Linked DNA regions of Neodiprion lecontei. The main gene of each other region encodes a partner of the protein of the gene in region 2 in a complex. Links are inferred from orthologs where the notes say so. Each region holds a gene or a part of one and is shown on either strand. Other genes may lie near its edges. The genes, in order: eukaryotic translation initiation factor 3 subunit D, eukaryotic translation initiation factor 3 subunit I, eukaryotic translation initiation factor 3 subunit F and eukaryotic translation initiation factor 3 subunit B.

The links.
Region 1: eukaryotic translation initiation factor 3 subunit I (region 2) and eukaryotic translation initiation factor 3 subunit D share a complex: the UniProt entries of both Drosophila melanogaster proteins name them as parts of the eukaryotic translation initiation factor 3 (eIF-3) complex. The link is inferred for Neodiprion lecontei from reciprocal best matches to the Drosophila melanogaster genes eIF3i and eIF3d1.
Region 3: eukaryotic translation initiation factor 3 subunit I (region 2) and eukaryotic translation initiation factor 3 subunit F share a complex: the UniProt entries of both Drosophila melanogaster proteins name them as parts of the eukaryotic translation initiation factor 3 (eIF-3) complex. The link is inferred for Neodiprion lecontei from reciprocal best matches to the Drosophila melanogaster genes eIF3i and eIF3f1.
Region 4: eukaryotic translation initiation factor 3 subunit I (region 2) and eukaryotic translation initiation factor 3 subunit B share a complex: the UniProt entries of both Drosophila melanogaster proteins name them as parts of the eukaryotic translation initiation factor 3 (eIF-3) complex. The link is inferred for Neodiprion lecontei from reciprocal best matches to the Drosophila melanogaster genes eIF3i and eIF3b.

Annotation. Positions count from the first base shown.
Region 1 is NC_060261.1:37,934,558-37,941,236, reverse strand, and holds eukaryotic translation initiation factor 3 subunit D, read left to right. Parts: upstream 1-2,557; 5' UTR 2,558-2,659; coding exon 2,660-2,833; intron 2,834-2,909; coding exon 2,910-2,955; intron 2,956-3,173; coding exon 3,174-4,639; 3' UTR 4,640-4,848; downstream 4,849-6,679. Other genes in the region: leucine-rich repeat-containing protein 45-like, read right to left, coding at 1-1,788, 2,302-2,399; aurora kinase C, read right to left, coding at 5,218-5,316, 5,446-5,836, 5,963-6,097, 6,271-6,679. UniProt on the Drosophila melanogaster protein: mRNA cap-binding component of the eukaryotic translation initiation factor 3 (eIF-3) complex, which is involved in protein synthesis of a specialized repertoire of mRNAs and, together with other initiation factors, stimulates binding of mRNA and methionyl-tRNAi to the 40S ribosome.
Region 2 is NC_060261.1:376,011-383,748, forward strand, and holds eukaryotic translation initiation factor 3 subunit I, read right to left. Parts: upstream 4,926-7,738; 5' UTR 4,531-4,925; coding exon 4,528-4,530; intron 4,252-4,527; coding exon 4,005-4,251; intron 3,537-4,004; coding exon 3,256-3,536; intron 3,171-3,255; coding exon 2,970-3,170; intron 1,777-2,969; coding exon 1,528-1,776; 3' UTR 1,477-1,527; downstream 1-1,476. Other genes in the region: poly [ADP-ribose] polymerase, read left to right, coding at 1-383, 5,784-5,990, 6,148-6,468, 7,192-7,423. UniProt on the Drosophila melanogaster protein: Component of the eukaryotic translation initiation factor 3 (eIF-3) complex, which is involved in protein synthesis of a specialized repertoire of mRNAs and, together with other initiation factors, stimulates binding of mRNA and methionyl-tRNAi to the 40S ribosome.
Region 3 is NC_060265.1:19,771,959-19,778,600, forward strand, and holds eukaryotic translation initiation factor 3 subunit F, read right to left. Parts: upstream 3,689-6,642; 5' UTR 3,637-3,688; coding exon 3,528-3,636; intron 3,224-3,527; coding exon 3,054-3,223; intron 2,884-3,053; coding exon 2,701-2,883; intron 2,097-2,700; coding exon 1,881-2,096; intron 1,713-1,880; coding exon 1,539-1,712; 3' UTR 1,456-1,538; downstream 1-1,455. Other genes in the region: uncharacterized protein LOC107226989, read left to right, coding at 1-22; 46 kDa FK506-binding nuclear protein, read left to right, coding at 4,263-4,272, 4,494-4,583, 4,667-5,645, 5,879-5,960. UniProt on the Drosophila melanogaster protein: Component of the eukaryotic translation initiation factor 3 (eIF-3) complex, which is involved in protein synthesis of a specialized repertoire of mRNAs and, together with other initiation factors, stimulates binding of mRNA and methionyl-tRNAi to the 40S ribosome.
Region 4 is NC_060266.1:1,379,019-1,388,265, reverse strand, and holds eukaryotic translation initiation factor 3 subunit B, read left to right. Parts: upstream 1-2,739; 5' UTR 2,740-2,798; coding exon 2,799-2,934; intron 2,935-3,373; coding exon 3,374-3,569; intron 3,570-3,718; coding exon 3,719-4,031; intron 4,032-4,113; coding exon 4,114-4,470; intron 4,471-4,623; coding exon 4,624-4,766; intron 4,767-4,895; coding exon 4,896-5,031; intron 5,032-5,130; coding exon 5,131-5,326; intron 5,327-5,526; coding exon 5,527-5,707; intron 5,708-5,986; coding exon 5,987-6,227; intron 6,228-6,365; coding exon 6,366-6,474; intron 6,475-6,579; coding exon 6,580-6,674; exon of another isoform or gene 6,675-6,869; intron 6,870-7,125; 3' UTR 7,126-7,807; downstream 7,808-9,247. Other genes in the region: multiple inositol polyphosphate phosphatase 1-like, read right to left, coding at 1-34. UniProt on the Drosophila melanogaster protein: RNA-binding component of the eukaryotic translation initiation factor 3 (eIF-3) complex, which is involved in protein synthesis of a specialized repertoire of mRNAs and, together with other initiation factors, stimulates binding of mRNA and methionyl-tRNAi to the 40S ribosome.

The DNA.
Region 1 (6,679 bases), about 38 Mb from region 2:
CTGGTCTTTTCCTTCTCTTGGATCAGCTCATCGTTGAGCAATTCATACCGTCGTTGAGGCTCGACGAGTTCGCTTTGAAGTGCGACGACTTGACGCTGTAAACTGCTCACTGTGCGTTGGCTTTCCTCTATCTTTTCCTCCAGATTTTCTTTCTCTTCTTTAACTCTATGTAAGGACTCCTCTGACCGTGAGTACCTCACGTTTAGGTGCTCCATCTCATTGATTTTCGCCTTCAAAGTCAACTGAGATTCCGTAACGTCCCTGAGTTCGCTCCTACTCTTTTGTAACTGCATCTGGCAGTCTTCTAAAGCTTGCGTCGTGTCTCTCAAGGTATTCTTAACAATGCTTATCTCGTTTTTGTGTCTGCTCTCACGCTCTTTAATCTCTCTTCTCAGTCTGTGCATCTCTGTTTTATCCTTTAATACTAGATCCTCGTAAGTTTGTGTAATCGAAATGATTTTCTCCTTCAGCGATGATATTTCCAACGAACTCCTGTGTATGTCCCTCTCATACCGGCGGATCCTTACCTCGTATTCTTTTTTATGCAACAACGCTTTGTGGTACGCATCTTCCAGTTCTTTGTGAACCTTTTTCCAACCCTCCTCAATTTCCTTGTGATTTTCCTTTAAGTCAAGAATCTCTCTTGTTTTTTCACCGGTTAGTTTATCGCGTTCTTCTTTCACCCGTTCCAGTTCTGTCCGCAGTTGATCGATTTGCGACCTCACAGCTTCGATTTCAGCAGCTTTGACCCCGACTTCGTTCGTCAAGAGATTTATCGCGGTCGTACGGTCCTGCAATATCTGATTGAGTTCTTTTATTTTATTCGTCGCAGCATCGGCGGAACTCGAGCATATTTTATTATTCTTCCTGGAATCGTCCCCGGAAATATCGTTCCGTGGCTCATCTCTTTTCAAATTTTCCTCCGCGGGAACGAGCAGGTTTGTCAGAGAATTCGTGTCCGATTCGTTACTAGTTTTTTCCATCGAATCATCGGTCATGCCGCTGGGAATTTCTTTTTTAAATAATTCGACGCGTTTTTTCTTTTTTCTCCTGTATTTCAGACGGCTCTGAATTGTGCTGTCGCTGTCCGTGAACGAGACGATCTTCTCTTTATTATCTGTCACCTGCAGAAACGATTTGGCTTTTTCGATTTCTTTGGTCATGCTTGTTACAGAAATCATTCTTCGACTCTGATTGCTACGGGTTCGCTCTTCTATCAAGTGCACTATATCCGCGGGTATACAATTCCCGTGCAGATTTAATTTCACTATGTTTTTGTTCTCTTGCATTCCGGTTAGGAGGAGCTGCCCTCCCTGAAGACCGATAGTGTTCCACGCGAGGTCGAGAACTTTCAAAGACTTGTTCAATCTCAAAACTTTGCACAACGCCTCGGCGCAATACGGGGATATCTGATTATAACGTAAATCCAATTCCTCTATGTTGTGATTTTTAGTTAAACCGTCGCAAAATTTGGTAAACGAATCAACGTGTGAACCCAAGCTGTTCCATTCGACGTTTAACAACTTCAGCGTATTGTTGTGAACGAGTACTTGTCCTAGCTGGGCAACAGTCGGACCGTGGATGTTGTTTCCTTTCAAATTCAGCGACGTCATGTTCGAGCCCTCGCACAGAGCGTTTAAAATACAACTGAGACTCTTCGACAGATTTAGCATGCAGTCGCTCAGGTCCATCCGCTTTATTGCTGAACTAGACATCAATACTTGAGCAATTACTTCGCAGATCGGTACCAGTATTGAAACGCGGGAAAGCTGGAGCTCTCCGGTTGCACTGAAATCAAAAAAAGTATGGTTATATATTATTTCAAATAATAATTATTGCAATAAGGAGCGTAGTGTATTTTCGTCGCGAATGTTCGTCAGGTTCCATTGATGTTTATATTCAAACCGTCGGAAGATTCGAGACAATCGTTATAATGCTGTAGCAGGAAAATTTGAATAAAGGTTATTGAGAATTATACAGAAAAGTTCAAGTCGAAATTCAAGTTTCGCTGGCATAAGATAATTTCGGTTTGTCGAGTAATCGAGTGAAGTATTGAATCGTTGGTAAGTGATCCGTCAAAGTACTTTTATCCAATTGAAATTCATGAAAAGTAAAAAAATATATATTCAGGCGCGGGCCCTGCTGAGTAGCGGCCCAGAAAATCCGAACCTGGCGATTAAAACACCTGGAAATGAATTAATTCCATGCAAACGTGGCGCCGAAGCTTGCTGCGGTCACCGCCGGTAAGAGAAATAGCGGCACTTACCGACGTCGTGTCGGATGCAACAAGATGCGACTTACCTAGCATTTTTGATAGCTTCTAAGACATCGGAAGGTGGTTTGAGGCCGCGTTTTTCACACAGTAGTACGAAGAGTTCGTGATCCTTAAGCATCTTCATGCGCTTGCTTGATAATTTTCACTAACCAGAGGCCTTGATTGTCGAGTGATAAACTCCGAGTAACCGCTTTTTGATTTTGACGTATCGTCTCATTTCATATCGATCGGCGTCAGAGGTTCGTACCGACGACGCCGCGACGTCGCCACCATCGTTTGGGCACAGCACGGTCTTCCGGCCGCTACACTGTTTCCGGAACAGACGCGGCTGTCTCGCGTGTGTTCCCATTTTCATACATGCCTGGTTAAATCGCGTCTGCAATAATGAGCGAGGAAGGCGGACAGGTGGAAGACGATGTGAAGAAGATCGACAAGGTACCTCACTTTGTCGCACCGGCTGTACAAAACAACTCTACGGGATGGGGTCCGTGCGAAATGCCGGATCAATTCAAGGATATACCCTATCAACCGTTCTCGAAGGGCGACAGGCTCGGCAAGGTTTGTCGGCATATGCTTTACCTCGCGAAATTTACTACTCAAAAATTGTTACTCATTTCTCCTCCCTATCTCCCAGATATCGGACTGGACCGGAGCCGCCTTTCAGGATAAAAAGTTCACTAGTAAGTTGACAGCCACCACGTCACTGCTCACTTTAACCTAACATTTCCTTTTCGGATCTACAGATATTTTCCATTTATTCGTGTTTGAAGTATTATTCAATTAAATGAAAGTAATAAATGATGAAACCGTGAATTCTGAGTCTTCGGAAACACTTTACTTTCTAGGCTAGCCTCCACGATTATTTGAAATTAATTACGATTCGTTCGCCCTAATTTAGACAAATATGCGTCTCAGTTTGGCTCTGGCAGCCAGTACGCCTATTATCACGAGGAGGATGAGTCTACTTTCCATTTGGTGGACACAACCAGAGTGCAGAAGCCTCCGTACCAACGTGGTAGATTCCGCCAGAATCAGCGTAACATGAGAGGTCGTGGTGGACAGCGAGGCGGAGTTAGTCAGATGCAGCAGCTAGGAAGGATTAAGCTCAGAGAACGCGATCGAAAGGGACAGCCCAAGCGCTGGGGTCGCCAGCAAGGCTTTAGAAACCATAAGAATCAGCCACCGATCAAAATCCGTGATGCTTCTGTTACTGTCAGGCCTGACTGGGTCACCATTGAGGAGATGGACTTCCCAAGATTGACCAAGCTCTCTTTGCCTGGCGTCAAGGATGTCGAGGACATACTTTGCTGCGGGTCTTTGGAGTATTACGACAAAGCTTACGACAGAGTTAACGTCAAGAATGAAAAACCACTGCAGCGTATCGACCGTATATTCCATACTGTCACGACTACGGACGACCCGATAATTCGTAAATTGTCCAAGACAGAGGGCACTGTATACGCAACTGATGCTATTTTGGCTACAATCATGTGCTGCACCCGCAGCAATTACTCGTGGGACATTGTCATTGAAAAGATTGGAGACAAGCTGTTCTTTGACAAGAGAGACAATACAGAATTCGATCTTTTGACAGTAAACGAAACAAGTGTCGAACCTCCCCAAGATGACGGCAATTCTCTCAATTCTCCACGGAATTTAGCTCTTGAAGCTACTTTTATCAACCACAACTTCTCCCAGCAAGTTCTTAAATCAAACGAACCGAGATACAAGTTTGAAGAAGGTAATCCGTTCATCTCTGAAGAAGAGGAAGGTGATGTTGCCAGCGTTGCTTACCGTTACAGGAAATGGGACTTGAATAATGGCGTTGTGCTCATATGCCGTTGCGAACATGATGCTGTCATGCAAGGACCAAACAACGAACTGCAGTTCTTAACTATCAAGGCCTTGAACGAGTGGGATTCTAAACTTGCTAATGGTGTTGAATGGAGACAGAAATTGGACACTCAGCGGGGTGCAGTTTTGGCTAATGAGCTCAGAAACAATGCCTGCAAGCTCGCCAAGTGGACGGTACAGGCTCTGCTCGCAGGATCTGATCAGTTGAAATTCGGGTACGTTTCTCGTGCCATGGTACGCGATTCTAGTAAGCACGTTATCCTGGGAACACAGCAGTACAAGCCGAATGAGTTCGCGACGCAAATTAATCTGAACATGGACAACGCATGGGGTATTCTGCGTTGCATCATTGATATTTGCATGAAGCAAAAAGACGGGAAATTCTTGATCATGAAAGATCCGAATAAGCCTATGATTCGGCTTTATGATATTCCCGACAATACTTTCGAGAGTGAGGGTGAAGAGGATGAAGATGATGATGAACCAGGAAATGACGCTTTTCAGAGTTAATTGGAAAGTGTAACAAATCTTTGTCACTAATTATCATTTGATCTGTCTCTGATAGTTGTGCCACAATTTCACCAACCTGTTGTAATTCAATATCTTTAAATTGTGTCTGAATCGATTCAGTAATCTGTGTACGAATTTAATCATTTGTATTCCTTTGTAAGGGCCAAGGTTTCGTAAAGAAATAATAAAAAGATCATAAACAGACTAAATGAACATTTTTATCAATCATGTGGCTCACCGCTTACAAAATTATTCACTAAAGATGGGAGGAACTAATCAATACACAGGCACCTTATCTAGGAATGAACATGTATTTTTTCAAATGATTTATCAACTTCGCATGTACGTGTGGAGTAACAATATTAATATAATGATAAAATGTATCATATAATTAACGATCAAGTACCTTTAATTTGAAATCTGAAATTAGTTGCATTAATAATTCTAACTGTGTGCTAGAAAACTAGATATCTCAAATTTAAATTATGCATCTTTGATACTTAAACATTATACCGTCAAAATAATATTAATTAAAAGATGAATGATTCATCGCATCACAATTTATTTATTTGCAAATCTCATTGTTTCGTTGGTTCCATGGTTCGGTTAGATACAATCCAGGGATGGTTTAAAATGCCGGCTAACGATAATCGATGTTCAGGATTCACAACCAGTAGCTACAAAAGAAAAAAATGAAGGTGAAACTTTGCAAATCAAGAGATTAAAATTGAAAACAAGGCTTTGATGATACATATTATGAATTAATGGTTTAAAAAGTGCTGTCATTATATCTCATTCATGTTCACCTGAGAAATGAGATTTCGGGCTCCGTCGCTGACGTAGGAAGGACATCTATAATCAGCTTCTTTGATCTTGTTGTAGGTGTCTTTGTATGTTGTAGCGAGAAATGGGGGTTTGCCAACCAGACATTCATAGCAGAGTACACCAACTCCCCATACATCTACAGTGTGGTCGTGTGTCGCACCTAGGACCATTTCTGGTGGTAAATAGTCTAAAGTTCCACACAGAGTTTCTCTTTTGGACCCAGGTGCGTGAACCGACCATCCAAAATCAGCAATTTTCAATTCTCCTTTACTTCCAAGCAACAAATTTTCAGGCTTAATGTCCCTATGAATAACTTTCTTACTGTGACAGTACTTGAGCGCATCAGCCAACTGAGAAATGTAAGTAGCCGTTCTGCAAATGATGAATTATTTCAGTTTTGGTGTTTAATTGCTATTATACATCATTGATCGCTATATGTACTATAACACCATCTGGATAATAGATGATTAAAATGAATATTTGTAGCAAGGTCCTTACCTCACTTCATCAAATCTTTCATTTGGTTGTGCTTTCAATTCCTTGAATAATTCTCCTTTCGGTGCATACTCCAAGATCAAATAAATCCTTCTGTCGTCATGGAAGTATCCATACATTCTCAAAATATTTGGATGTCTGGAAATAATGATTGCGTTATCAATAGCTGTGTGGTATTAGAGCTTTTTTAGGGGCGTTGCGCTCAGAATTGAATTATATAAAAACAGTTCTTATGGAAAAATATCAAATATACTTAACAGCCTAACTGAGACATATATTAGACATAAGACATCTAAAATCAATGCTACTACCTCAGATGCGTTTGAATTTCTATCTCTCTTTTGACTTGATGTTCAACTTCAGCTGTTTTTATCTGAGCTTTGAAAAGCACCTTCATAGCTATAATATACTTGGACTTTTTCTCTCTGGCTAGATAAACATTCCCAAATTTTCCTTTTCCCAAAGGCCGTCCTATATCGAAATCAGCAAGAACCCATTTCTTATCATTTTCCGAATCGTTCTTGGCGTTAGTTTGAGCAGCTTTGACCTTCCCTGCAGATTTTGAATCAGCTTCAGTTGAAGAGTTCTTGCTATGACTTTCTGTACTAGACTGAGTAGCTTTTGCAGGTGGAAGTAATTTTGGGGGTGGTGGCGGTGGCATTAAATCCATTGTTTTTTTTCTCTCTGTGTTTTCATCCTCGCTTATATTCTTTACTACAT
Region 2 (7,738 bases):
TCACCGGTTACATGTTTGGTAAAGGTATATACTTTGCTGATATGGTGTCAAAATCAGCCAACTATTGCTGCACTAACCGACAAAATCCGACTGGATTGTTGCTACTGTGCGAGGTAGCTCTGGGCAATACCTATGAGCGACACGCAGCGGATTACGTTGAAAAATTACCAAAAGGTAAACATTCTACATTGGGTCTGGGTCAGACTCAACCAGACCCAGACGATTTTCACATTACAAGTGATGGAGTTCAGGTGCCATACGGAAAGCCAGTACCAGCTAAGCTTTCAAAGTCAACTTCTCTTTTGTACAACGAATATATTGTATATGATGTGGCCCAAGTTCAAGTACAATATTTGGTCAAAACTAATTTCCGGTACAAACTATAAGCTGAAATACTTTCAATGTTACTTGCCAGCTACCCTACCTCAAACAAGTAGTTTGATATTTGCATACCACACAGACCATTTGAGGTCGCCAAACTTCCAAATAAGGCCTACCGATTTGATAATGAATTATGCGTAATAATAAGTTGTATTGTGTTTGTCAAGTCTACTCGTTTTTGTTTTTTATACTTTGAGCATAGGTATAAACTGAGTAAATCAGTCCAATCCTGATGCAAATGTTTTTCTCACTGATTACGCTACCGAGTATCAGTCAAGTTTAGGCCCAAGCTTCAACCAAAAGACTGGGCTACAATAAATTAAATTTCAAATACATCTACGTATACATAGAAGTGCTATTATCATGGGACACTCAACCTTGAAAAATATTGCCAAGTTTTTAGTTTGCTATGATAAATAAGTGAAGGGAATCCATTGTCGGCATTCAAATCAGGAACGATATTGAAATGTTATTGAGAGCAAAATAAATTAGGACTTCAGACCAAACCAGTGATATGAAAATTCATATTTGATTCTTGCGCTATATTTTCTTCATCTTTTTATTTTTGGCATATAGTTATACTTGGTATATATGATGGTTTCTACTTCTCATAGGTATGTATCCTTATTTGAGAATAGTGATAAATTCCGAAGTTACCTTCTGTCCAATATTTTTTATACAATAATCATCAGCCATATTTTCTACGAGACGATTTTTACTTTCAATAATAAATCATACTAACATAGATATTAAAACCGTATTTTATGTTGCAATTGTTGCCAATTTCATTTTCCACTTTACCATTGTATCCTTATTCCTTGAAATTTCACATAGGTATACAGATATGTGACATGCAAAATTAACGAATTTTAATCTGTCAGTGTATCAGATGCAAGCAAACGAAAAAAAAAATTCATGCAATATGACAATTTGGTACGTACAGAAAAATTAAGCAACATATCTGACACCGATAACTTGATACAGGCATTTCCTTGGAAACGTCTCACATCCTCCTTCATGGTTTTTATCTTTCCGAAAAATGATTCGAAATATTGAGGAAACATTACGCGGAATAAATGAAGAGCACGTGCTGTGTAAAATTTTTAGATTCGATATATATTAGTACAATGGTAGTACAATTATTGATTAATATTCAAAATGAAAATCGAAGTAAGATTGGTCAAATGTATTGATACGAATATATCCATCTTCTCCGCCTGTAGAATAACTCCGTCCATTAGGATGAAAGGCTAAAGAATTGATAGGGCCAAAATGGCCTTTGAGTCGAGCGAATTCTTCCTCAAATACCAAATGGAAAAATCGTGAATCAAATTTTCCATGACGAGCCGATGTCGTGGTCACGTCCATGGCATCCTGGCCACCACCCAGTACCACCTGAAAATGGATATAGGTACGATCTGTTACATTCGCATTTTACACAACCACACTACGTACGGATGTAATTTTACATGTCTTGCCGACAATTTCACATAAAAAGAATCAGTCAGTCATTTTTCTACAAATTTGCATATTTACAGGGAGTTTGCTTTTTCTGCCAACTCACTAAATACGAATTGTTATAACTTGATCAAGTCATTTGTAATGGATGTTTAGTGAGTAGTATATAATAAAAAAATTAACCACGCCTCCTAAATTTGGATATTACGTGAACGATTTTTTTTTCAGTTTGTAACCAAAGAGTTGCATTTTGAGTAGAAAATTGTCCAAGCTGCATGGCATCAAATTTCCAATCGTTTAATTTTAATAAAAATTTTATTTCATTCCCAAAATCGCTGACAAGTCAAACGACAAATCAGGAGTATATTCAATTGAACGACATTTAAAATTTGAATCTTACACACTAGTGAAGTCGATTCTGAACCTCCTGGTTTAAGCGGGTCAGAAATAGGGTTGGCTCTGGCAGCTTCTAACTAATTGCTACGGTTCATCCAACAGATACCGCATGTTATTTAATAGGCGTAAGTTGGGCACTAGAGCTGCCAACCTTATATTTGAGCTGCTAAAATTAGAGGGATTCCAAATCGACTTCACTGGGTGTACATAATATGTACATTTTTGCATTTTTTTGTAATATAACATAGGAATACTGTGCATACCTTAGTCCACACATAGAAGTGTACTAAAAGGCAGAATGTTCTGTAGTCAGTGTCAAGTTTTAGTAGGGCCAAAAAAATAAGATCACCAGTTAGTGCTACTTAGACATAAGGTATGCAATTTCTAAGTAGCTACGATCGGGACAACACTTTGCTAAGTATGCTCGCAACTGAAGCAAAAGTACTGCATCGATACAGAAGGAATTGAGGTATTATCACAATCTCATTTGTAAGTGGCTTGCACCACCTTATTTAATGTCACCTATGTTGTCGACACACTTGTCAACAATCGTAAACTATTCCCCTAAAGTTAGCAGAAAAAAAGGGAGTGCTCCGACCTTCTCTCAAGTGTCAGAATGGTAATATCGTTACTTTTCGGGTATTATAAAAAATGTTTAATCTTGTACAATATTCAGGAAAGTATTAAAATGCTGCTGCACCTGCTCAAGACATTATATAAAATTGCGTACTCACATGATCCAAAATTGGGGATATTGTTGCGGAATTGACCGGTCTCTCGGTTTTATAAGTTTTCAAGCACACCAGAGATTCGCTATCAAACAATTTGGCCGTATGATCCTTACATGCTGTCACAAACATGGTCCCATCCTTATTGGTTTGCATATCGTTGATCTGATTCTTGTGACTTTTAATAGAATTAAGTTTTTTCCCAGTCTGTGAATATATTACAAATAAAGTAAACTGAGGAATTGTAATTTAATTCAAGATTAATATTTGTGTCATGTGAATCACAACTCACCCTCATATCCCAGAGATTAATCTCACCATCTTCATGCCCAGTGATGATGGTTTCATCAAGAGCACCCCAAAGAATAGCAGAGATTCGGGGGCCGTTGATAGGTATTCGTCGTATGGCATTCTCTTGTGATGATTTGGAAACGACGTCTCGTGCATCGATAATGAACATTTCACATTGGTATCCCAAAGCTTTATCGGTTGAATAGACAGCAAGATTCCCGGAATAACTAAAGCTACATGTCCTCACCGAACTATTTGTTTCCAATTGACCAACAACTTTTCCTGAATCGAGAAAAATACAGAGAATCGTTGTTGCGTGAAATTCAACCTATCTCAAAATAGCATAAGTTTACATGTTTTAGATTAATTAAACCAATTTGCTCGACTTCATGTTGCCGGAATTAGTAGGTAAAACTAAGTCAGACAAAGAAATTGGAAAAATTTCACATTCATGTCTCAAATCATTGTATCAATTCAACAGATTATAAAGGATATTTGATTATATATTATTGATTTGTTCATGATGCTCGCAGTTATCACCTGCTAGGTTCAGTAACATCTTAAATTTGCAAGTGTATTAGTTTTCCAACAGACAGAGATCGACAAAATTATCGCAGCTCCTCTAGGATAAAATTCAAATACTTTCACTGGTTAGAATACTACAAATCCAGCAATGACCAGTTTCACATCACCTTCATCATATAGATATGGTACGAGTCTGTTGGAATAGAACGATAAGAGGTAACTAACCAGTCTGACAATCCCATACACATAAAGTATTGTCACCACTTCCAGATAAGAATCTAGTAGTATCCCAATTAACGTCGATGCACCATACAGAACCATTATGACCGTTGAAAGTTCCAAGGCGTTCTCCATTGAGGGAGTACCAGACATTAGGCTTCTTGTCCTTACTTGCAGAGAACAAGAGGTCACCCTCCCTGTTGTACTTGATCTTGGTAATGGCACGTTCATGCCCATGAAGCATGAGAGGTTTCTAAAACACAATGCAATCACAAACAATGGAATCCGAAGATTCGAAAAGACACATTCAATATAACCACGTCTGATATGAAACACACATCATTTCACAAGAAGCCTCCTCTAACGTTGACCGAAGATATATAGGTACTTGAATCGATATCTTGCAGTGTCAACTTGAGGTTAGGCACGGGAAGGCAAATTTTCACACGTGTTTATGTGTGTGCACGCGTAGGGGAGGTATGATCTGGCATAATGATAGAACAGATTTATTTTAAGAACAGAAACTTACCATTTTATCTAAACTAATATCGCATCAGCGCTCCAAAATTGCCACAAAATCGACTAGTGCACCAGCTGAACGTCTCACACGCGCCCTGGCCGAACGGCAGAAAGAGATGAGTAGAGCCACAAACCGTCAACGAAATGACCCAGCATTGGCTAGATATTGTAGAAGATGGCCGACCTCATTGGGTAGATGGAAACTCTTTCGTTATAAAAGTCCTCATATTGCTCAACTATTCTTGATGAATGCTGAAACCGTCGCAAAACTTCGTGCAGCTTGTGCCCTTAATTCGAAGCTGTGAACAATCTAATACGTTGACTTTATGGAGGGTAGAGGTAAGGAGGCCTATGGGTGTATTCCGAAATATACCCGCAGTACTGCAAGTACTGGCAACTGCATTCTGAAATCGCGCGACAGCTTACTGCCGCCAGTCAGTGACGTCATGAAATTTGTGACGTTGTTGACTGCGACTACTGCGGCCTGGGCACGGTCTTACATACAGGTCTTGCAACGAAGCCAATTTTTTACAGAGCGGCGTGGTTCTCTTGTTGTCCGTGTTTTAAGTGTTCGAAATAACCATGTCGCGGCGCTGTTATCTAGGGATGTACGTGGGGTAGGGATGAAAATGTGCCATGGAAATTATATTTGAAATGAAGCATATAACCTAAAATCAGCGCGTGCGTCATACTGTAATGATACTCTTTGCCTCTAGTCTCCATACATATATCATTCATAATAATTATATCACACTAATATTTATATTAACTACTTTCATTCATAACAATTCATTACTTGTAATAACAACAATAATAATATAATTATTAGGTTGGCGCTGCATTGCGCACGCGTTGATTATCCATCCCTCGATCACAACGCCGGCCTGGCGACCGCAAAGTGAGATAAATCAGCGCCCGTGAAATGAGCCACCCCCACTACCTTCGTTGCAAGACCTGTATTTAAGACCGTGATTTCGGAATACACCCCAGATTGATATCCTTCAAATGGTTTGTCGTCTGCGGATTATTCGGGCTTCAGCATAGCCACAAATATGAGAATGTTTCTTAAAATAAAGTTTATCTTGAGATTTACGTAAGGAGTCGTATAAGCGGATTATCAATCACTTTCTCATTTGTGAAATATTAAAAGATTCGTCGCGCGTGATCAAGTGTCTGTTGTAGTTTTGTCCTTTATGTAACATAAATATATGTATGCCCGTGTTCGATTACAATCCGGGCCCTAACCTATTCTCATGCATTGCATAGCATACTCGTGGTCACAGTGATTGTAAAACTAAATTGGAGAATATGCAGCGCGTTATTAAATGTCCGAAACGATATTTACCTTCGGTGAATGACATTTTTAAGTTGGCGTCAACTGTTGCGGGAAAATACGAGTCGGTACTGAGTAGACCTAATTTCAGACTAGTCCTGAATCGCGCCCTTCGAATCTCACAATGCCTGTCGTTTCAGGTAAGAAAATCATATAATATGCCCGACTTGTATTTTCCTAGTCTCATATCGATAGTTATGAGAAATAAATAGATCAAATTCAGTATTCAGCAATTCTTTTAAGATGCAATATTTGAGGATGTGGGAGAACGATGAAATGACTGTAATTATTTTTTAGGGTCAAATGCGTATGCGAATGCATAAGGAGGTATGCGCCATTTATACCGTGTTACGACGCAGCGGATTCGATAGTGATTCAAAACTACGCTGCTTTTATAATGCCAGATGCTTCTGTACCACAGGTACGAACAATAGCAATAAGGCGGCGAGTGGCGGCCGTGCTGGAGAGCCCTCATCTCAAAGCTCAGGAGATAATCCGAATAAAAATGACAATGAAAAAGTTTCTGGTCTTGTTCCCAAGTATTTAATGTGGCTTACATTTTTCTGGCTGATTGTCAGCTTGGTGACCATGCTAACACCGAATAATAGTCAACGGGAGGTGAGTGTATATGCAGATCCCATGGTTCAATTCTTGCCGAAACTACAGGGTGGTCCTGGAGTACAGTCTTATAAACTACCAACGTATTTCTCGTAGCAATCTGCAACTGAAACGTCTATTGCATTTCTATAAAAAATTTTCTATACGCGAATTACAGCTGTTTGAAATTGACCAATCTGGAAGCTTTTAATGACCCAGAACGGGACTGGTGGATCGTTATTTCATCACTACGCTGCGTAGTATCCCGGTTTATCATCCCTGTGTGTGGTAATCAATTCTGATGCTACCAAGTTGGTTGATCGAATGGCTTTTATTCGAAACCGAAGAATTTCTTAGCATTGCAACCCAATTTTTAGTTATCGATTTTAACAAGGAATACATTGTTGCTTGGCAGCCTATGGGACAATAGTCACGAACGACCCTGTTTATACAATGACAAGGTTTGTAGCATTAATGTAACAATGCACTCTTATGACAAAAATATAAATTTACGATTTTACATTTGTCTGGAATTTCGTGAAGCATAGTAAAGGAAAAAATACATATTTTGAAAACTCATGTCCTTCAAAGTCAATCTGAAGTTGGAAAACAGCTATTTTGTTCAGAATGTTTTATTATGTTAATGTTACCAGTCTGAACCTTGTCATTATACGAGATATGTAATGTATATGAAAATGCTAAATATGTAAAACCTGAAGCACATAACTTGAATAACTTGTCTAGCAGATTGTGTACGTGTCCTGGAATGATTTTCTCCATCACATGCTCTCCAAAGGTGAAGTGAAAGAGTTGATACTTCGACCTCAAATAGACATGGTAATTATAATCTTACACCCAGACGCTGTAATTAAAGGCCGTAAGATTGGAAACGTTACACACCTAATGACGGTAGGCGACTTAGATCGTTTCGAAGAAAAATTGAGAGCTGCTGAAGACAAACTGAACATAAGACAAGGTACTGTCAAGAATGTGACACCTGATCTACAAACTCGAGTTTTCACATCCCCTTAGGAATTTACAACCAGTTTATCAAAAATGTGTACTTGTATTGCGACAGGTAGAGCATTGGTTACTTGATCGTTTAGGAAATATATTGTGTCAGGATCATAACAGGGTTTGACTGCTTGGAGACTAGATTGAATTGTTGTTTGTATCCAAATATGAATCGTGGTGATTAAATGCTGTAGCGATCAGTTGATGTTGAAACTATGAACAGTTTTTCTATTCGGTTCAGTCACACCCTAACATTACATAGAATATAAATTTGCAC
Region 3 (6,642 bases), on a different chromosome or scaffold from region 2:
AGTCAAAGGCATTCTTTCTTAAGTACTTCAGTCTTTATTACCAATCAATCGCAAGTGTCGTTGGTCCGAAAAGTGTAATACTAGACAATTTTTCTTACCATTTGTGCTGGAAAGATTTTGTGATATCATAAAAAGATGAATTTTGATCTACTTTATTTCTCCATGATACAGTACTTTTTCGGTATAAGCGGGTCCGCCATAAGCGAATTGACCCTCTGTTCAGCATAAGCGCTTCCCTGACTAAGTTCAATTTATTGGATGTAAACAACTTTGTCGCAGATGCTTCATTATGAGCGAACAAGGGATTGTATGAAATTACATACTTCGTCTTAAATGTGTTGCAACAAACATCCCGATTTCAGTACGAAATTTGCAATTCACTTATAATGAAACCAGGCAAAATTTCTCGGAGTTTTATCATCTTGACTGCCCTAACGTTTGCTTATAGTAGGAAAAAAGTATTTTTAAATGAAAAATGGAATCGTATTCTCCTGCTATGATTAGTGCTATTTGTGTCAGTAAATTATCTGCGCTTCATCAGTTGGCTGACAGGTTAAATTAATGGATATTTTGGAAAGTTAAATCGAATGCTGTTCAGCTTAGCAATTATCAATAATTGTTTGGAGAACCAAGAACAAATCATTATGCGATAATACAGCTAATGAAAAGATCTTTGATATTTGTAACTTTAATCTGATTAAATTTCTGGACACTCACAAAAAATGTTTATCACATATTTTAAATACCCTAGCTATGGAAAACTTACGTAGGATTATTCGCAGTATTTGGTACTCGCAAAATTTTTTGAATTGTTCTAGTTGAATTTGTCATCGTTAATCGAGTTGAATCTTAAGTAAATAAACAAAAAATTGAGAATTCAACAGAAGTGCACTCAATGCGGACTGGTAGTTTCCTCCTTCCTGTCGATTGAATCTAGATTTTCCCTGATCAGGCCTAATGAAGAAGCACGGTACAATTCACAGTAATCAAATTACTGACAACATTAGGTTATACTGAAATTCTGAAAGAGAGTTAGTGGATGATATATGAAAGTGTTTTTACAAACTTACTTACTGGATTAAATCCATAACCAATATCGATATTTCCAGGATTTTAAAATTGCCCTTGTTCTATACAGTCACAAAGAGATATAAAAAAAATACAAGCTCCAAGGCGTGATAATGTGGTTTAACGTATATGCAAGATTTGAAAAGTTTGTAATTTTGGTCGTACAAATATACTATGGTTCAATATTAGCAAATTGTACAAAACATTGTGTGATAAAACAAAACACAAGACGGTTTTCTGCAAACTACGACCTCCGACGTTTGGAAGCTATGGTAGAAATAAGCACAGTTTCAAACGTTCAAGAATCTTCTACTGTGATGTTTTGTAAAATATATGTGTTATGTATATATGTATAAAAAACTAGATTAAGCAATTTAGTTACATCAGTTTGTTTTTACAGATTTTTATTGGAGCCATACATTACTCTTAGCTTTACTTGGTGCTGTTTATTTGGTGAGCTTAGTTTTGGCTCATAAGGTAGTCAGAAGGGTGAGCTTCTCGTTCAGCTGTAGTTGAGTTTTGATTAACTGGGAAAGAGCAACAACCATGAGGAGGTCCTTGACATTGCTGTTAAACATTTGGTCGAACTGATCAGCTGACATTTTAGGTACCGAATGTACCATATCTAACAGGGCTCGCCCAACCTGTAATTTTATGTTATTTTATTCAATTGTTTATTTTCAATACTTGATTGTACAGTACTTGCGAACATGTACAAAGGTCATCCAAATTTCTTGTTATAGAAAGTGAAATATTGCCCAGTACATTTTGAATTATTTTCATTCCTACTGCTATCTACGTCAATTTGTTACCTGATTATCAGCAATTTGTTTGCCTGCCAAAACATCATCTACGTAATTGAGGACTTGGTCTACCAAAGTCAGTAGTTTAGTGCTAGCTTCTGCTATTTGTGCCAGGTCTAACATTGGTTCTACTCCCCCCTGCTTTGAAAGTGCTTGACCCGGAGGTAAAGTTTGTGTTTTAGCGCATAGTTGTAGCCCTACGATCTCAGGTTCATAAGAAGTGACCTGTTGTAAGTAAAAGTACAAGTTATTACCACTCCAAACAGAGCAACTACCAGCAGCTGTACCTGAAAAAGGTGAGACAAGAATTTTTTCGACACCTACTTGGCAGGTTAAATTTTTGAAGCCTATGGGGCATACGTAAAGTGTCCCAATTTTGAACAGTGTGATGAAACTATTTTTGCGCAAATACTAGGGATTTCTTGGGCACACGCGTACTTTCGACCAACTCAATCGTTGCTCAATGCAGTGTCTTGCATTAAGCGTATGTTCTATAATCACAATTTGATATGCTATGAGTGGCTCATTTGGTGCTTCTTAAATCGAACTTCCTTTACAGGTATTGGAAAAATTTGCTTAATCATATTATTACAGTGCTCGCCTTGGCTCATGCTGCATTTGCACTAGTATTCCTGCAACTGCAGCACTCGCCTTTGTTGTTCGGGGTGCAAACTTCACAATTACTCACTTCTAACACAATATAGTATTATAGACTCCAAGAGATGAATAATGAAAATTAGTTTTTTCACAGAAACATAGTACAAGTAAAAATTCATAAAACCTTGACCTATTATTGCTAAATTACTAGTTGCATAAATTTTTTTTTTACCTGAACTCTGACAGGTGTAAACATACAACCCTGCTTGCCATTTGGCACACCCAATTGGACGCATACGTATGCCTTGATACCCATTCTAGTAGTGTTGGCCATTGTTGTGTCCAGAGTTAAATGAACTGGATTATTGCATTCTCGGGCATAATACTCATGGATGACAGATGAGTGATTGGTAACCTGGATCACAAGGAAAAAAACTTGATGAATAAACATATGTTGCTAAAATCAAGAGCATACTTTTCAAGTCTGATTAAATTAGCCAACACATTCACTGTTTGGATATTATTATCATCTTGTAAATATATTTGAGATGGGAAGCAAAGTACCACAACTCTTGACATCTGTACCTCTTTTCCAGTAGCCCACCAACCCACTATGCTTTCTTGGGCATTTACTCGGTGATTTAAGTCGTACAGATCCATTGCGTAGTTCAGCTCGGCTTCGACCTGATCTGCATATTCCTTGTGAGGTACGCAGAAGCAATTTGTTACTTCAACAATGCCCTTCTCCACCGTCCCTATGAAAAATCATGATAAATACGTTCTGTCGAGACAATACCTGAACTTACATGACAATTTGAGTACTAATTGCAAGGAAAAAGTATAGAAATTTTTAGGGAATTCAATTCTTTTTAGATTTCGCTGAAATTTCACATTTGCAGTAGACGTGACGTTAATAAATTATAATGTTTAAAAGGATTGATAATATGGAAACATGTGACATGTAGAAGGTGACGTCCGACGTTCATTCGTCTATCCGCTATCACAATTTCTGAGAAACCGTACGAGTAGTCGAAAGTTTATTCTGTGTTTCTTTGTTACCAAGCAGGGTTCCGATGACACGGTGAGTATCCGCATTACGTCGCTCGTAGGCATCGACTATTTGAAATAAAACAACTGGGTGCACCTTGACAATGAGGTTAAGCGCCATTTTTGGTGCGTCAAAGTTGGTCAAAAGTGGTCAAGAGACGTTGGCTATAATTACAATAACGCTGTTAGATCGTAAACCCAAACACTGAATCCTGCTACCTCTAGTCAATTACAGTTGTGAACTGTTGTGTCTCACTTTTCTCGTTCTCATTTACGTCCGGTGATTAATGTTGTTTTGCCCGCAAAATAGCTGCCCTCATTTGAAACAATACTGAAGTTGTGATGCGAAAATTGCCAAAAAAATGTTTCATCAGCATGGTCAATATTTCTGTATATTGTAAAATAAGTTTTGTTGATCATTACAGATGAAAAAACTGGATTTGGTTTTCATTTCATCAGGGTACCGTTGGTACTGCCTCTCGAGGAATCAACATGAACTCATCGTACCAGATGAAAAAAATGATGACCAATTCCTATCTAGTCTCTTCAATCGTTCATGGCCTGTTCCTTTACCGCCGGTTCAATCACATCTTGGCGCGAGTAGGATCTAACTCCGAGCACCGGGAAACCGTTGATCAACTGTGCATGCGTTTCTTTTATTTTCGGTGATATATTATTGAAGTAGTGAAAACGATTGTTGATTCATTAAATTTATTGCAACGTTTATTGTAGGTCAAAATAGCCAATATGTTTTGGGGTAAGTACCAACAAGTGCCATGTGTTACCCCTGATCTGAGCAGATCTGAGTTGCCGGTTATTTCAAGAATGGCGTCGCCATGTGATCTCCAATAAAGATTATCACAGCGTGCGGGCTAAGAGCTCCATACGCGAGGATGAAATTCCTCGTCTAACGTCATTCCGAATTAAAAAATGACCAATAAATATAACCACCTAAAAGTATGTTAATGTTTGTTTCAGGCTTAATTATAGAGCCGAATAAACGGTACACGCAAACCGTAGAACGGTCGTTTCACGTGTCCATGGCGAGCTTGGACACAAATACTGGAGGTAGGAATCTTCTATTTTTCGTTTCGATACCGAATCCAATATGAATTTTTCAAATTATTATAATCATGCGGTTCTTATTCAAGGCTCGTATACTGGGGTTGTTCAAGTAATGCTTCATTACGAGAATCGGACTTTTCTTTTATGCACACTGAACAAAGGAGCTGCGCTGCAGGTTCCGTTGGATCTCAATTTTCAAGAAGGAACCGAAATAGCCTTTAGTTCCAATGGTAGCGGTCTTGTACATTTGACAGGATATCTAGTACCAGAAGAAGATGACCTAGATGATGAACTAGAAGAAGAAGAAGAAGAGGAGGACATTCCACAGCTCATTGGTAAACCAAGTAAACGCAAGGCCACAGATTCCATTAAACAATCTCAGAATCATTTGAAACGTCTGAAGGAGGAGGGAGAACAACAGTCTTCTGACGAAGGTGATGACGATGATGAACTAGATGAAGAAGATGATGGGAGTGATTCAGATGAACTGCAAAGTGCGCTACTGGACGCGGAAGAGGAGGAGGATGAAGATGATGATGATGATGATGATGACGACGAGGGGGATGAAGAGGAGGAAGAGGAGGAAGTAGTCAAACCCTCATCAACCACAAAGAAACAAAAACAACAAAAGCAGCAGCAGCAACAACAACAACAACAACAACAACCAGCACAAAAACAACAGAATAAAAAGCAAGAAAAGCAGAAATTACTGAACGGCAAAGATGTCAAACAAGATCAGAAACAGCAAGCTAAACAACAAAAGAAAAACAAACTTGAACAGCAAGTCCAAGCTTCAAAGCAGGAACAAAAAAAACGAGTAATTGAAGGTGGTGTACAAATAGAGGATTTAACACTTGGGTCTGGCCCTCCGGCAAAGGCTGGAAAATTTGTTTCAGTTTATTATGTAGGACGGTTTAAAAATGGGAAAAAATTTGATTCATGCAGTCAGGGAGATGGATTCAAGTTCCGTCTAGGGAAAAATGAAGTCATTCAAGGATGGGATATCGGTATTGTAGGAATGAAGACTGGCGGGAAAAGACGCATTACAATCCCACCAGCTTTGGCGTAAGTAACAATTTAGGATTTTTCTGTTCATTGAAACTTGAATGACTTATATTTTACAATATGTATTAGTTCTTGCATTATTCGTGATTTATCTGAACTAAATTGTTCCTGAAATCTTTGAAGACCTTTTAGTGAGCAAATCTCTTACGTCTTACGAGCACAATATTTACGACTGATGACTATTTCCATAACATTAAAACTGATGAGCAATCAAATTATTTATCTTGTTCTAGATATGGAGCAAAAGGTTCACCACCAGCTATTCCACCCAACAGTGTACTTGTGTTTGAAGTTGACCTTAGGAATGTCCACTAGAACTTGGGTATACTCAAGAAAAATGTGGATGAACATTTCAAAAACAATTACTCTTACTATCTCCATGGTGTACCTCATACATTTCCGACATGTCTGGTGATACTTCGTAAACTTTTCAGATATAAAACTTGCATGTACGTTTTATTTTTAATACAATAGTTTTTATTAAATAACTACCATTGTTACAATCGTATTCTGAATCTATTCAAACACGAACGTGATGACAGATTTGATAATATTCAAAACAGTGTAACTTATGACATTACCAATGTAGTTTTCCAAAAATGTGTGAAATCGTATAGCAAATACGGAGATTGATCGATTTTTATTGGCAGTTTTAGGTAGCATAATCGGGTCAAACTTACAATTGGGTTATACTTTTTGTTTTAGTTTATAATATCAACGGGTTCGTAAAAATCAGTGTTTGTTACATGCGTATAAAACAAACGACGCATTCATCACAAGTTACAAGCCCAAACTTTTTCTCGTATACATATATTGAAACAAACCTTGGATCAACGTGATGCAACCATATATGAGTAATGTTATTGTAGAGCCGATAGGATTAACTTACTAATTATCCAACTAGCGAACTACAATTATTGATTTTTATGAGAAAATTGGAATCTAACGTTTATAAATAAACTAAATTATATTAAGGAAGGTCAAGATGTTATTTACA
Region 4 (9,247 bases), on a different chromosome or scaffold from region 2:
TTAGAATAAGAAACGATTTTTTTACTTGTAGCATTTGATCGCGGATAGACTTGAAGTGTGTCAGAAAAGAAAATGCTTAGAAGAATATGAAAAAATTAAAAAATCGTTAAACCGCGCTGAAATATTTGTCACGAAAATTTTTCTCATACTGTGAGAGATCCTTCCGCGCAACCGATCGTTGTCACTATAGACTCTAAAAATTTTGTCTCGAACGGACAGTTTTAAATTCTATCTATTTTCAGTGCGTTTATTTTTCAACTCAAATATTTATTCATGAATTAAATACACCCGAGTTGATTCGATTTAAACTCAAAACCCGGTAATCATATGACACAAGTAGCATATGTGTGCTATTTACAAAGTACCAAACATTTAACTGCCTTATGGAAATGCAATTTGTAATGTCTTTCTGCACGTATTAACAGGTCATACTGGAACTTAACTGGGCTGCTATTGCGTCACTATATCAACTTTTAGTTATTTTTTTGCCTATGAGATCGTTTTTAGTCATGTTCTTTTGGATTTTGTCACTTTTACTTTTTTACCCTTAGATTTTAGAAAACATTATCAGAGTTTAGAATTAATCTAACTGAACACTGGAACTGAAGAAACTCCTTTCCTAAGATTTTTTTTTATTGCCAGTTTTTGCTCTATTGTTGCGTATGCAAATAACAATTTCATAAGGTAAAAATGAAAATTTACAAAGATTAGAAAATAGAAGGCTTGCAATAGCGAATTTTCAAATTCGCAAAAATCTGTTTTCGAATGTAGACTATATTTTGAGTTATCTGCATTCTAGCCTTCTGAATTTTGAAATTCTGTAAGATAGATTTTCGCGGATTTGAAAATTTTTGATTACAGACTCAGACAAATAATGTAGTTCATAAAATTCTATTTATTTTATCGGAACTATCCTTTTCGATTTTTCTGTAAAGTTTCGATGCAGACACGTTTAATAGGTATACAATTATTTCACCCTTAAATAAATTTTTACAGATGTTTGGCGAAAACTTGGAAGATCGACCACTTGGACTTCCACTTTGACTCACTGGAAATTATGGATCATGTCCCGCAGAGGAGAGCATCCCAAATGAATATTGACTTTGTGACTGTACCCCCGTTTGTACCAGGCAACCAAATACTCCTTTTTTAACCCGCGACATATCCATGTCAACATTGTCCTCGAGTCCATGCCGTTCACTTACACTTGGTAACTCTGGACCATGGATGTATTTTGACACTTCTACAAGATGTTCCTGATTGTTATGATTGTTAGCCACGACTCTTCTCTTGGACATCGTTGATACACCTGGAATTACGAAAGTTTCACTGTCATTAACATCAGATATGCAGTTAATTGTTTCTGGTTCTTCTAAGTCCAAGTTTTATGTTCATGAGCCAAACATTTCCGTTGAACCGCAAACACGTTGAAAACTGTTTGGGGTTGAAAAGTATCGTTGTTTTCAGATTTATTAGTGGATCAGCAAACTAATCGCAAACAATGTATCGTTGATTGAAAGTTCTTTTCTGGGTATATCTACTTCGTCCAAGAATCCCGACATCGTCGCCTTTACGCTGGAACTCAATCGGCTGCCGCTCAACGAACGGAACTGAAGTAACAAACTAACCAATCTTTTTTTTTCGAACAACTCTACGAAATATTTAAGAATCTCCTTGGCGCTACTTTGTAATTGGCTGGGAATAATTCTGGAAAATTATTTCTCAAATGTTTACCGAGTAGATTCATATCTTCTACTCCCCGTCTGTATCAATACGAAATAAAAATTATTTCATTCTTATCACGACAATGATTCGATTTTCGGTACATAACTTGACAAGTTAAAAAAGTTGAGGCAATCAAAAGAAGAAACGATTCTTTCACGGTGTATATTTTACTGCGAATAGGTTTAAAAAACATGGGCAGACAGTGTAGAGAATATTTTGAACTGTGTAATAAATGTAGAAATATTTGTAAATGAAATTAGTTAGCTATTGTACGGAAATGTTTTCGGCAACTGTTGGAATGCGATACACTGAACAATTACGTTTTTTATGTATAGATAATATACTCTCACACTTGACACTTTTCACATCACCAATCACGTGCAGTCGCTAAAGTGATGTATTCAAAATTCCATAGTCCGAAGACACATTTTCCGATAATACAAGGTCCTCTAGTTTAACTTCTTCGTTAGAATGTGTTATATGTATTAAATTGTCGCATTTACAACTGTGAAATGATTTTCTGCCTTTTTTCACAATAATTCGACAGATCCGTTCCTATTTCTATCCTTATTTCAATTGACTATTCACACTATTCACAATGCTTGAAATCCATAAAAATTGAGTGTACAATTAAAACGTTTCCCCGTGCAATGAAAAATAAAGAAAACATACTACTTAATTGAATGAATTAAGGGTAAATTTTCCGGCGATGTAATAAATTCAATGAATTATTTCAAAGTAGAATTTTTTGTGACGAATGTACAGAAAGTCAAATAAACTCCGCTTTAGCATTGTAACTGATAAGACAGAAAATTATGTTAAATATCAACGTTGATGTGGATCACAAAATGTAATAGAAATTGCCTATCTACAGGCTGGTTGATTCTATTGGGTGGATAAAGCAGACGACTCGAAGGTGTTAGCAAAAGCATCGAGTTGAATCGCTTCATTCGATATATCGCATGTGCGCAGTTGAGTTGCGATAGATCGAATCAGTCAGACGGAAGCGTTGATATACGTCTTCTGCGGCCACTTTCAGACGCTTCAGTTTGCTTTAGTAAGAGGTTTCCAAGATGGCAAAGAAACGGGAGGCGGATAAAACGCCGCATAACGATGATCCAGGTAAAAACGACGATGAGAATATCAACGGGGATAACGAGCCAAACTTCAGCGATCCCGAGGGATTCGTCGACGATGTAACCGACGAAGGTATTTCTACTCTTACATTTCACATGCGCGTCACTCGTGTCATCCCTATCACCCCTCGGGGCTCGGTCACGGCATGGCATAGGTAGCATGGCGTGGCACGAAAGTTATCACATATGCACACCGTCTCCTAAATCTAACCATCCCGTCTCGGGATCTCGACAATCTTCCGTACAGTCTCAATAGCTTTTTCAATTTATTCGCCGGTTTTAGCATTTTAACCTCCGAACTTTGGCGTGATATTTTTCCTTTATACGTGACACGGTTCAACTCTGTACTTGAGCGTCAATTAACCTTCCAAATTTTGTATTGGCACCCATTCAAGATACCATTTTGCATTCATAACAGTCTCTGAATATTACTCGACACCAATCTCCGATTCGCCTTTTAATTCTAAATCGGGTCTGCTATATTTCTATTAATCTTTTATTCCTTTTCCTAGAACTACTTGGCGAGCTCATTAGGCAGAAACCGTCTGAGACCGATGGGGTTGAAGCTGTCATTGTCGTCGACGGTGTTCCGCAAGTTGGACCCGAGCGTTTAGAAAAACTCCAAATGGTGATCAGCAAGCTGTTTGAAAAGTTTGGAGACATTGTCAACCAGTGGTATCCCAAGAACGAAGATGGCTTGACCAAAGGGTAAAGATCATAAGACCATAAATTTTAATTCAACAATGCTAACCTAGCAGAAAAACAGAAACAACTTGTCACTTGTTTTGTAATTATTAGTACGAAGCTTCAATTTTTCACTACTTTGGTTGTTTTGTTAATTAACACTGGTATCACAGGTACATATTCTTGGAATACAAAAGTCCGGTGAACGCATTAGCTGCTGTCAAGTCGACAAACAATTACAAGCTCGACAAGATGCACACATTTAAGGTGAATTTGTTCACGGATTTCAAAAAGTTTGAGGATACACCGGATGAGTGGGAACCGCCAAAGCCCCAGCCGTATACATCGAGTGGTGACCTTCACTACTATCTCCTTGATCCTGATGCGTACGACCAATTCTGCGTTCTCTCTGGCAATGGAATGGCGGTTTGTGTTCAGATATGGCAAAATTCTGCACCTGAACCGACGCTGCTGGAAGACCGACCGGTAACAGTTTTTCACAGTTTGACTAGATTAATGTGCAAGTCGAAATAAACATGGTGTATTCCCCTTTTCTAAACCTTTTCAGCGATGGACAGATACATACGTCAAGTGGTCTCCATTGGGCACGTACATAGCTACTTTCCACAAGCCAGGAGTCGCGTTGTGGGGTGGTCCGAAGTTCGAGCAGACGGCAAAGTTTGGTCAACGCGGAGTTGAGTGCGTTGACTTTTCACCTTGCGAACGTTATCTTGTCTCATATTCACCCAGGGCTGAGAGCAGCGTTGATCAGAAGCGGCTTGTTGTCTGGGATATTCTCTCCGGTCAAGAAAAACGGGATTTTAATCCTGACGGGTCCTCGGTGTGGCCCATTTTCCGCTGGTCACACGACGACAAATATCTCGCTCGCATGGGCGAAGATGTACTCAGCATCTACGAAACTCCTGTAAGTTTTTTTTCTACTATTTTTTTTTTTTTTTTTTATCCTTTTGCATACCAATGTTAGATTTTTTTTCATCAGATGGTCAATTTTGTTTCGTGCGGATGTTCAACTATGGTCTATTCGCTTTTAAGCATTTGCATTTATTCGATTTTTTAGTCATTTCGACTACTCAACAAAAAGAGCATCAAGATACCAGGAATCAGAGACTTCAGCTGGTCGCCCACTGATAATGTTCTAGCCTACTGGGTGCCGGAAGATAAAGATGTCCCAGCCAGAGTCACACTTTTGGAAATTCCCAGGTACAGCACAGAGTTCATAGTCAGAATTGAAATGCTGCTTCCATTTGTTGGTTAACAACCAAAGAACTTATGTTTTGTTCCTATACCGATTCGCGGAGTTCATGAGTGTTTCTCTTTTTCCCGTTACAGCCGCAACGAAATTCGTAACAAAAATCTATTCAATGTCGCCGACTGTAAAATTCACTGGCAAAAATGTGGTGACTACCTCTGTGTCAAGGTGGATCGTTTTGCGAAGAGGAAAGAAAAAACTGAACAAAAATACACTGTAAGTATCGCAAGTAGTAAAAGCTCGTTCAACTCCTCCCAGTTGCCTAAATTATAGTATAGCATCGGTATTTAATTTCTCCATTTGATTTATTTTCAGGGAATGTCGTACAACTTTGAGATATTCCACATGCGAGAGAAGCAGATACCGGTTGATAGCGTTGAAATGAAGGAACCGATTCACGCATTCGCCTGGGAACCAGTGGGTAGCAAATTCGCTATCATTCACGGTGAAATACCCAGCGTAAACGTCAGCTTCTATGGAGTACGCCCTGGACTGCATCCTGATCTTCTCAGTAAGCTTTTCAATCCAGTTTCAATATTTCAGAAAAGTAATTATATCCAACTAAATAAGACGAAAAAGTGTGTTGTACATCTCTGAAGATATGTATATCAGTTCATAGAACAAACATGTGTTCTTCAGTCTTGTAATGACTTTTACTGATGTCTTAGAATTAAAAGGCAAAGTTTTTAATTTTTTCTAACTCTTGTTTAGAGAAACTCGAGAAGAAGGCGTGCAATCACCTGTTCTGGTCTCCTGCTGGCCAGTTCATTGTACTTGCTGGTCTTACCACCATGGCTGGTGCCTTGGAGTTTATTGATACCAACGATTTTACTATAATGAACACCACTGATCACTACCAGACCTCTGACGTTGAGTGGGATCCTACCGGACGGTATTTAGCTTCGTTTATTCTTTATCATTCTTTTTATTTATTCTCTCGTTATGTATTTAATGCGGGCTTCGTTTTCGTTACATGTTATTTAGTAGAATTCTTATTATTATTATTATTCGTATCACTGTTAAATCAAAGATCTTTTACTGATTGTGAAGTTTACTTCAATCTCTTTACTTTGGCAAAATTTAGTTTTAAAGTAAGCTTAGAAATGAAGCATAGAACTAAAAGGACGTGACTAAATGACCCCAATCAAAAATGAAATACGGCTGCTTTTAGATACGTTGTGACTGGAGTGTCGAGCTGGAAGACAAGCGTCGACAACGGATATTGGATTTGGTCGTTCCAAGGTCGTATTTTGAAGAGAGTTAATTTGACTGCGTTCAATCAGCTTCTATGGCGTCCAAGGCCAGCGACGCTTTTGACCGCCAAGCAAATCAAGGAAATTCAAAAAAATCTGAAGAAGTATTCGGCACAATTCGAAAGCAAAGATCGCATGAGACTAACTCGCGCCTCGAAGGTAATATTTTCCTATTCCGATACGGAATATTTGTGATCAAATAGTGACTTTACATTTATTCGTATAGTTCTTTTTTTCTATTGTGACATTTAAAAACTACCCATATCCTTGAAATGATTTCTACCTTTCTTTTTCCAGGAATTGATCGAAAAGCGTTGTACACTGATGAAAGAATTCGAAGAATATCGATCAAAACGTATCGAAGAATGGAACAGCCAAAAGAAGCGTCGCCTTGAACTACGCAACAGTATGTATTACCGTAGTCAAAAGTAAAGATGGAAAATAATTTATATTGATCTGCTAGTATTTTCCTATATTGAATGACGTATTAATTTCGTGTTTTTCCTTCTAGATATCGACACGGATGAGCTGGACTCAGATACGAAGAATGTTGAGGAGGAATCGATCGAGTTTTTCATCAAAGAAGAGACATTCGTCATCGACTAAGAAAGTATCCTAAGAATTGAAATAATTTGGTCTTGCCAGACTTGGAAACCTCTGTGTAAGACCGTTAAATTGTTGGATTTCATGGTGTATTGTACCTACTAACTCTGGAACGGAGGTGAACCACGCTGCAAGTGGCATCATTTCCATTATAAAGCATCATTGATGGTCTTTAACTATTATAGCAATTGCGTAGAATTTGTATTTTATTATTTCTGTATCATCGTGTCATTTTTCCTCGATGATTTTACACCACGTAAAGAACGCGGCAAACGTAGTACAATCAAATTCTATCACATACCTTATAGAATAGTCTGTAATACTTGTAACTGCTACAATGATTGTCACACTGTCCATTTTTTTTAAGTCACACAGACTATTTTTATTTATCTAATAATACCCTTTCGGAAAGCCATTTGAAATCGAACATTGTTTTATGAATACTTTTCTATAGAGTATCGTCGAAGACGAAGTAAGGGAATCATCACGACGAGGAATCTGTGACTGCGTCAAAACTGAAACCCCATTCCTTTCCTCACAGCTCACACTTGCGAATCAGCGGAATTGCCTTCGGAAGGTAGGTTTAGTTTATTTATTTATAGTAGGTTAATTATATTTAAAAAAGACTGGTTTTTGTGCAGATGCTCTTGCCGGCAGTTTGGTTGTTGAAAAAATACGCGTCATGCATTTAATCTGGGGTTTTTATATTTCATCAATTGTTGGTTTTCCACTGTGTATAGAATTCTGCAGATGATTTTTCAAAACAGAAATCATATATTTGTTCTTTTTCTTCTTGGCATAATATCCATTCTGTTCAAATTATTATCAACTTTACTATTATAACAAGCATCGGTTGCTATTATATGGAACGGGAATCTTCGAAAAGCAATAACATACAGAAAGAGTCATAAAGACGAAAATGTGTAAAGTTATGTTCTTACTATATATCTACATATATGCTAACGAATGTATTAATTATTATGCATAATGTATAGTTTGGAGGTACATAAGTTGAGAAAAAGGTCTTGATTTTAAAGTTTATGTATTATATATTATGTTATAGCTCAATGATCCTTAGATCTCTATGTATTATACAATCATAAGAATAATGATGAAAATAAAAAAGGAAAATAATAGCCTTCTAGTGTATTTGCTTAGTCCAAAGGGAAGCGCCTAATTATAGGCAACCAAACTTACATGTACGCGACACGGCCATCAGGCGTAAGGCGTGCCTTCGATCAGGCTCCTCGGCTCAGATGTTCTCCTAATACCAGGAGTAATTTTTCGCTGCTATTTCTCCGATCTAATTGAACCAAGTGGGAGCGCCTAATCATAGGCAACCAGAACGGTACGTATGTGACACGGGCTTTCAAGCATAAGGCGCGCCTTCGATCAAGCTCCTCGGCTCAGATGTTCTCCTGATACCAGGAGTAATTTTTGGCTGCAATTTCTCCGAGTTGCTTAGTCCAAGTGGTAGCGCCTAATCATTGGCAACCACGTTTATACGTATGCGACACGGGCTTTCAGGAATAAGGCGTGCCTTTGATCAAGCTCCTCGGCTGAGATGTTCTCCTAATACCAGGAGTAATTTTTCGCTGCAATTTCTCCGAGTTGCTTAGTCCAAGTGGTAGCGCCTAATCATAGGCAACCACGCTTATACGTATGCGACACGGGCTTTCAGGAATAAGGCGTGCCTTTGATCAAGCTCCTCGGCTCAGATGTTCTCCTAATACCAGGAGTAATTTTTCGCTGCAATTTCTCCGTGTTGCTCAGTTCAAGTGGAAGCGCCTAATCATAGGCAACCACGCTTATACGTATGCGACACGGGCTTTCAGGAATAAGGCGTGCCTTTGATCGAGCTCCTCGGCTCAGATGTTCTCCTAATACCAGGAGTGATTTTTCGCTGCAATTTCTCCGAGTTGCTTAGTCCAAGTGGAAATTAATTTTTATGCATAAGAAATGAGAGAGTATATTTTGAGCTAAAATTTATTTCATTTTTACTATACATATATTATATGTATAATAGGGTGTTTCAAAATAAAAAAATTTACGATTTTCCAACGAGCCACACCCGAAATAGTTTAGGTAGAAACAAAAATTCTGGCGAAAGATGAGCATTGTCGGTTGATTTTTAATCCTTTTTTCCTTTTTATCGAATTTATGATGGACAATTGTTAGTAATTTTTTTTCGTGTTAAACACTTCTTCATCTGAGCTATCCATAATGAGTAATCAAAAAGTAGTGGCAAATATGCATGATTATTTATTGTGTGCCCATGACGACTGAGACAAATCGTGGTCATCAGATAATTGATAAATATCTCTTTTTCGTAGAAACAGTATCGGCGGGTGGTCACGCGACTATAGTGGGCGCATCTCACGGTAACTGCGCCGCGGTCCGCCGCGGTGCAGTGGGTTTCAGCCTTAACTTTTGAAATGTCCTACCATTTCCGAACACCTGCAACCATCCTATTTACCTATATTACTAGATTAGCTATTATATGAAAAGAGAAGAATTATTCACTTCGAAATGGGATTCTATTCGACGCGCGCTCGATGTATTCCATAACATTAGTA